Linked DNA regions of Macaca mulatta. The protein of the gene in region 1 binds, or shares a complex with, the protein of each later gene. Links are inferred from orthologs where the notes say so. Each region holds a gene or a part of one and is shown on either strand. Other genes may lie near its edges.

What was found.
Region 2: GTF2F2 (region 1) and POLR2G share a complex: the UniProt entries of both Homo sapiens proteins name them as parts of the TBP-based Pol II pre-initiation complex. The link is inferred for Macaca mulatta from reciprocal best matches to the Homo sapiens genes GTF2F2 and POLR2G.

What each region holds. Positions count from the first base shown.
Region 1 is NC_133422.1:24,430,655-24,435,121, forward strand, and holds the start of GTF2F2 (general transcription factor IIF subunit 2), read left to right. Parts: upstream 1-1,401; 5' UTR 1,402-1,548; coding exon 1,549-1,614; intron 1,615-4,467. UniProt on the Homo sapiens protein: TFIIF is a general transcription initiation factor that binds to RNA polymerase II and helps to recruit it to the initiation complex in collaboration with TFIIB.
Region 2 is NC_133419.1:11,294,522-11,297,668, reverse strand, and holds the end of POLR2G (DNA-directed RNA polymerase II subunit RPB7), read left to right. Parts: intron 1-866; coding exon 867-917; intron 918-1,023; coding exon 1,024-1,089; intron 1,090-1,336; coding exon 1,337-1,408; intron 1,409-1,916; coding exon 1,917-1,950; intron 1,951-2,170; coding exon 2,171-2,184; 3' UTR 2,185-2,391; downstream 2,392-3,147. UniProt on the Homo sapiens protein: Core component of RNA polymerase II (Pol II), a DNA-dependent RNA polymerase which synthesizes mRNA precursors and many functional non-coding RNAs using the four ribonucleoside triphosphates as substrates.

The DNA.
Region 1 (4,467 bases):
CACTGTAGCCTTGAACTCCTGGGCAGACACAATCCTCCCACCTCAGCCTCCCAAAGGTGGGGTTACAGGGTCCAGCCACTGAAACTTTCATTTTCGACACACTCCAGGTCTCTTCCCATCTTTCCTGTTAATTTTGCTAGCTAATCGCAGAGTTCTGACAGCTTTTCCTGGCCCTGTGCTGAACACACATAAAATTTCCTCAATTTTGTGCAAGGCTCTGATGTGTGATTCAATACATTACTTGCCCTTCTTAACAATACCTTACTGTTTGTTTCTCTTCAGCGAATGTTCTTTCACCCAAAGCCTGCTGAAACCTGACAATGTGTCAAACACTGTGCTATACATTGTGGATATAACATGAATAAAGCACCATTTTTTATTTGTAAATTATACCTCAATAAAGCTCTTTCTGCCTAGGAGGAGTTCGTTGTCTGGAAAGCAAAGGCAGATATGTAAACATATGTATTATAGTGCAGAGTGCTAAGTATCACACTGTGATGTGAAGAAAAACTAATTTCTTCTGGGGAAGTTGATAAAAGATCTCATAAGAAGTGACATTTCCATTGGTCTTGAACCATAAGTAGGAGTTTGCCAACCAGAGGAAAGAGTGGGAGTGAGGGCAGGGGTAAAAGAGGGCTTCCAAGGAAGGGAATCCAGTGTGCAGAGGCTCTGAAATGACCGAGGAAGATTCTGACGTGTTCCGGGAAGTCTGCTGGGTTTGGTGCGGTTCGGTGCATGGTGGAGTAATGGTGGGAGGGGAAAACGGATGAAATTAAGAGGGCCCAGTTGAAGCAGGAGGATTGAATTTTATTCTAGAGGCAAGAAGAGAAAGAGAAAACTTTAAGCAGGGGAGGAAACGATCAGTTTTGTCTCTTACTTGTTCGTTTCGTCACAGACCTTCGGGTTTTGGAATATGAGGTGCTCTGCTTGCTTAATCAGAGGAGCTCGGGCAGCCTCTGAGCTGAAACACGGCTTTCTTTTCAGGTCTAGAAACGGCATGTTTTCAATATACCCAGGGCTACCAAGTCTGATCCCAGTGCCCACTTGTGCTAATGACGTTGGCCAGGGGGGATGCCAATTTACTAACCTAAGCCTGTCCTTCAAATATTCTTTCTCTCTCTTTGGCTAGGGTTGGACACGTTCTGACAACTTTTGTCTCTTTGAACCCCGTTTTTCCGTTCTGATAATCTTTTTCTTCAGTTATGCTGGCCATGTCTTTAAATACGTTGCTAACGTTTTGGCTCATCTTACCCTATGTTTTAATCCCTCAGATACACACTACGCTGACAGCCACGCCCACCCAAGGAATTTCCGAAACAGAAAGTTTGTCTGCAACAGCGCGCCGTACGAACGTACAGTGCGCAGGCGCAGTCTGGCTACCGGCGGCGTGTTCCTCTTTCCCCCCGGTTTCCAGTGTCCTGGCAGGTAAGGAACGCCGCCTCTTCACCTCTCAGCGCGGCTTGCCCTTTGTTCCGGACGCCCACTTCTCAGCCCTCCGGCTCCTGGTGTCGCTGCTGTAGGCCACACGCGTCCACCGGCAACAGACCCATGGCCGAGCGCGGGGAACTCGACCTGACCGGCGCCAAACAGAACACAGGAGTGTGGCTAGTCAAGGTAATGTTCACGAGTCTCCCACTTGCGCTCCTCCTAACACAAGTATAATTTAAGTAACTTGAGCCCATCCCGCTCCGTGCACCTCTTAAAGTTCTTTTACGGCTATCTCGTTAGAGCTTCACATATTTTGAGAGGCAGGAGTCATTGTTGTATCTGTTTGCAGATGAGGAGATTAGTTTAGGGACGCAAAGTGTCTTTCAGCCGGTTACTGGTCTGAATCAGCCTGGACTAGATCTCTTTCTCACGGCTTTCCTGGAGCCCTGTCTTGGTGTTCCTAGACTTGGGCGGTGCATTTTATCCCAGACCGAAGAATTACTTGTATCTTTCCCTTGGTGAAACTGGTTTTAGCCATGAGCCTGTGTGAGGTAGTTGAATGTCTGCTTTCTGTACAGTTTTTTCGGCGAGAAACTAGAACTGGTCCCTGCGTACTCTTATTCTCTTAGGTAAATGGTCCTTAATGAAGCTCTCAAAAGAGGCGAGAGAGCCCTGAACAAACAGAAGGAGAGGTCAGGAGAGGTCATTGGACTGGAGTATTCTTTCAGAGCACATTTGGGTCTGATGAAACTGGCCGTCAATAAATGTTTTATGTAAAGACAGCAATTTTGGTTGGCTCACAGCGGGCACTATTTGTGCTTTACTGTTTCATGTTGGGAAGTGTTTTCTCCTAGGGGAGTTTCATAATACTTAAGCAAATTCAAAATGTGATCCTGAAAGTCGTTGAGACTTAAAATGTAAGGACTTTCGGTTTCTTAATGCTTTAACTGATTTATCATATGGCTGAGTTCTCGTCAATTAAATCTAAGAGGTCTTTCTTGTCGGCCTTCTTAAAAATGGCTCCCTTATGATCATTTGCTAACACGACAGATCCGTATTACATTCTTTCTTTTCTTTTTTTCTTTTTTTTTTTTTTTGAATCAGAGTCTTGCTCTGTCGCCCAATCTGGAGTGCAGTAGTGCGATCTTGGCTCACTGCAAGCTCCGCCTCCCAGGTTCACGCCATTCTCCTCTCTCAGCCTCCCGAATAACTGGGACTACAGGCACTCGCCCCCACGCCCGGCTAATTTTTTGTATTTTTAGTAGAGACAGGGTTTCACCGTGTTAGCCAGGATGGTCTCGATCTCCTGACCTCGTGATCCGCCCGCCTTGGCCTCCCAAAGTGCTGGGATTACAGGCGTGAGCCACCGCACCTGGCCGTTACATTCTTCAAAGCACTTTTCACAGTGTAGAGTGATTTTGTGTTAATATGTTCAAAGTTGGTTACCTCCGTCTTTCCAACACACAAAATCACATTCCATGAGATTGGATCTTTGCCTGTCATACCCAGAATAGTGTTTGGCACATGGTAATTACTCAACAAAAAGGTGATGAATAAATGCATGACCTCTCATTCTTTAACCCTCGCCTTAATCTGTGGCACTGATTTGACTTATTTCCAAGCTCAGTGTGACTTAAAAGGATGAATTAAATAGGCATTTCTCTCTCCAGCAGCGTGTTAATTGGAGGAGAGTCACTAAGGAGGAGATGGCCCTTGCAGACTGAAGGAAAAAGCTTGAAAAAATGGTGTGACTTGAGATGGTGCCATTGTTCTAGGAGCATGGTAAATGCTCAGTGTTTACGCCTTACAGGATTTGGGTGGGTGGACATAGCATATACCATGGGGAATGGAACAGAAATGCAAGACTCAAAATACATAATCAGCATGGTGTGTCGTGGAAAACAGAGAGAACCTAGAGCAGAAGATCTGTGTAGATAAAGGTTGGGACCATATACTCAGATTGTCATATCATGAAACGGAGATGTTCTAACTTTAGTTTACAAGGAAGTAACAAACTTTTTGGAGGATTTGAGTGAGGGAGAGATGCCAAATATTTATTCAGAAAAAAAAAAGTTTGGCAGTGTGCAGTACGAATTAGAGGGGAGGGTAAGTAACCAGAGTCACATTTAGAAAATCATCACAGGATTGGGCCGGGCACGGTGGCTCACACCTGTAATCCCAACACTTTGAGAGGCCGAGACAGGTGGATCATGAGGTCAATAGTTTGAGACTAGCCTGGCCAGTATGGTGAAATCCCATCTCTACTAAAAATACCAAAATTAGCCGGTTATGGTGGCATGCGCCTGTATTCCCAGCTACTCAGGAGACTAAGGCAGAAGAATTGCTTGAAACTGGGAGGCGGAGGTTGCAGTGAGCTGAGATTGCTCCGTTGCACTCCAGCCTGGGCAACAGAACAAAAACTCCATCTCAGAAAAAAAAAAAAAAAGAAGTAGTAACTTGTTGCTTAGAAAGTGTGTCTTCATTCTCATCTCATCAGAATTTTATTTGAACTACGTATTGATTTCAAGTTTTTTCTCCTTACATTAATATTTTCTGTTAAAAATAATACCTTGAGTTCTGATCTTTGTTGCTGAAAAATGTTTCTTCCTAGGATATATCAAGGTCATCTTGTACATATTTAATTCCATCACCAGTTACAGAACTGTGTAAATGCAGTAAGGACTGTACATACAAGATCTCTTAGAGTTTTGAGCAGGAAAAAAATTAATGCTTCACCAGAACTGGAAAGACATCATAGAGAAGGTGATGTTTAAGAAGAGCCTGTTTGGAGGTTGCAGTGAGTCGAGATTGTGCCACTGCGCTCCTGCCTGGGCAACTAGAGTGACACCCTGTCTCAAAAAATAAATAAATAAATAAATAAATTGGATGTGAGTGTGATCTGGCTGGGACATCTGTCACCCCATTGATCACCAGGGTTGATTTGGCTAATCTGGCTGGCTAGGTGGGTGTCCCCTTCCTCCCACTCCACTCCATGTATGTCCCTCCTGAAGCTGCACCCTTGATCAAAGAGGATGACCA
Region 2 (3,147 bases), on another chromosome or scaffold:
AAAATTAGCCAGGCATCGTGGCATGTGCATGTAGTCCCAGCTACTCGGGAGGCTGAGGCATGAGAATCACTTGAACGTGGGAGGTGGAGGTTGCAGTGAGTTGAAATTGCACCACTGCACTCCAGAGTGAACAACAGAGCAAGATTCTGTCTCAAAGTAAATACATAAATAAATACAAATGAAAGCTTAAAAAAAAAGAGAAGAGGGCTGGGTGTGCTGGCTTACACCTATAATCCCAGTGCTTTGGGAGGCAGAAGTGGGAAGATTGCTTGAGCCTAGGAGTTTGAGACCAGCCTGGGCAACATAGCAAGACTCTGTCTCTACAAAAAGTTTTAAAAAATTAGCCTAGCATGGTGGTGTGCACCTGTGGTCTCAGCTACTTGGAAGGCTGAGGTGGCAGGATTGCTTGAGCCCAGGAATTCAAAGGTACAGTGAGCTGTGATTACACCACTGCTTTCCAACCTGGGCAACAGTGAGAACCTGTCTCAAAATTTAGAAAGCAAAAAACAAAAACACAACACTTGAGGGGACAAAGAAAAGCAAGATCACTCTTTTTTTTTTTTTTGAGACGGAGTCTTGCTCTGTTGCCAGGCTGGAGTACAATGGCGAGATCTGGCTCACTGCAACCTCCGCCTCCCGGGTTCAAACGATTCTCCTGCCTCAGTCTCTTGAGTAGCTGGGATTACAGGTGCGCTACCACACCCAGCTAATTTTTGTATTTTTAGCAGAGACAAGGTTTCACCATGTTGGTCAGGCTGGTCTTGAACTTGTGACCTCATGATCCACCCGCCTCGGCCCCCCCAAAGTGCTGGGATTATAGGCATAAGCCACCGTGCATGACCATAAGATCACTCATTTTTTTCTAGGTTGGACTCTTCACAGAAATTGGACCCATGTCTTGCTTCATCTCTCGACACGTAAGTCTAGGCACACTGGGTGGGGCTGAGGAAGAGAGATACCCATTCATTACCATCTACTGAAGCATCCTTTTAAAGTGCTACCCTAATCTCACTTTCCTTTCAGTCCATCCCTTCAGAGATGGAGTTTGATCCTAACTCCAACCCACCATGTTACAAGACAATGGATGAGGTAAGTGGACAGAAAGAAGTCAGGAAGAGGAAGAGAGAATCAGTCATCCTGAGGGAGAATATTGGCCTGAGGATGGCCGAGCACAGATGGTCCCTGAATTACCATGGCTTGATTCATGATTTTATGACTTTACGATGATGCGAAAGTGATGTGCTTTCAATATGCCCCCGGGCTTACGGTGAAGTAGTTGTGATGTAACCTCTCATAAACTGAGGAGCATCTGTACACTGTTCCCTCCTCTCCCCAGGATATTGTGATTCAGCAGGACGATGAGATCCGCTTAAAGATTGTGGGGACCCGTGTGGACAAGAATGACATTGTGAGTCTTTTCCCCACCTCTACCTATACCAGGCTGAGCGGAGAGCTGTTGGATTTCTTGCCACCTAGTTTCAGGGGGTTCTATGCTCTTCTGTCAGGAAGAAGGGATGGATGGGCAGAAGGCCTGGGGCTGCGGGGTAGAGGTTGGTTCTGTGCTCATCTTGGCTTCACTTTCTTTTTTTTTTTTTTTTTTTTTTTGAGACGGAGTCTCGCTTTGTCGCCCAGGCTGGAGTGCAGTGGCCGGATCTCAGCTCACTGCAAGCTCCGCCTCCCGGGTTTACGCCATTCTCCTGCCTCAGCCTCCCGAGTAGCTGGGACTACTGGCGCCCACCACCTCGCCCGGCTAGTTTTTTGTATTTTTAGTAGAGATGGGGTTTCACCATGTTAGCCAGGATGGTCTCGATCTCCTGACCTCGTGATCCGCCCGTCTCGGCCTCCCAAAGTGCTGGGATTACAGGCTTGAGCCACCGCGCCCGGCCTTCACTTTCTTTTTACCATCTTTCCTGCAGTTTGCTATTGGCTCCCTGATGGACGATTACTTGGGTGAGTGCCTGATCATATGGGCTGGGGTTATTGCCTGGAGAAGGGGTGTGTAGGGGTGGGGAGTAATACAGGATTTAATGCCCAAATGAGAGAGAGACAGAAGAAACTTTCACGCTGTCTGGTTGAAAGATCCAGGACACGTTCCTTGGGATGAGAAGTACATGGTTGTGGCTGCCCCCAAATTCTGGGTCTAACTGATGCACTTTTTCTGGTTTCACAGGGCTTGTAAGCTGAGCCTAGTGGCTTCCTACCCTTGGTCCTGATGTAGGAAGTGTGATTGTCACACTTACCGTGTTGTCCAGAGGTCCAGTCTGGCTGCTGTTGTGGAGGCAAGGAAGGCAACTCATTCCAGAAGGCATCTGGTGCTTCTTTTAGCTTAGCTACTGCCTCCTGATTTTTCAGTATGTGTTCTAAGTATAAAAAGTCCTTGGTTCTCATGGAAGTGTTATCCTCTTTTTTTTTTTTTTTTTTTTTTTTTAGCAGTAACAATAACTCTTTAAGGAGGCTGTGGAGTTGTCTGCTTACTAGCCCCTCTTTCTTATACTGATGCGTCTGCTATCCTCAGCCACCCAGGGGAGCTGACTAACCCATTTGTCCAGGTTTAAAGGTGACCTCATTGAAGTCAAGGCTCTGATGTTGGGTCTTTGGCTTCCAGCAAATGATACAGTCATTAGCGGCATTCTGAGTACTGATATAGTTCCAGAGTGTTTGCTCTTCTCCTGCCCTTAAAAGTAACCAAGAGCATAACTGGGAAAGAAGGGAGAGGAGACAGCAGACAGGGAGAGATGAACAAGAGGCTAGTAATGACAGGCTATAGGATCTCAACACAGCCCTTCCTAAGATGGGTATATACACAACAGTGTATCACTATACTACACTGAACTGAAGATGTAAAAGGGCTCAGAATCTAGTTAGGGTACAAAAATGTATGAAATACCTATAGGATTAAACAAACATGCCAATTTTCCCTGACACTATACCTCGGCAATACTATTTGTCTACCTTGGACTGCCCTTTCCCAGCTTGTCCATTTCCTATCTACTAATCTGTGAAATTTCATTTCAGTTATGTTTTTTTTTTTTTTTTTCTTTAACTTTCTTTGACTACCTTGGGAAGCAGAGCTCTAGCAGAAAACAAGAAAGCATGGTATTCGGATTGATACAGAGCCGGTTTAAGTCTTAGCTGGACTCGGGAGGA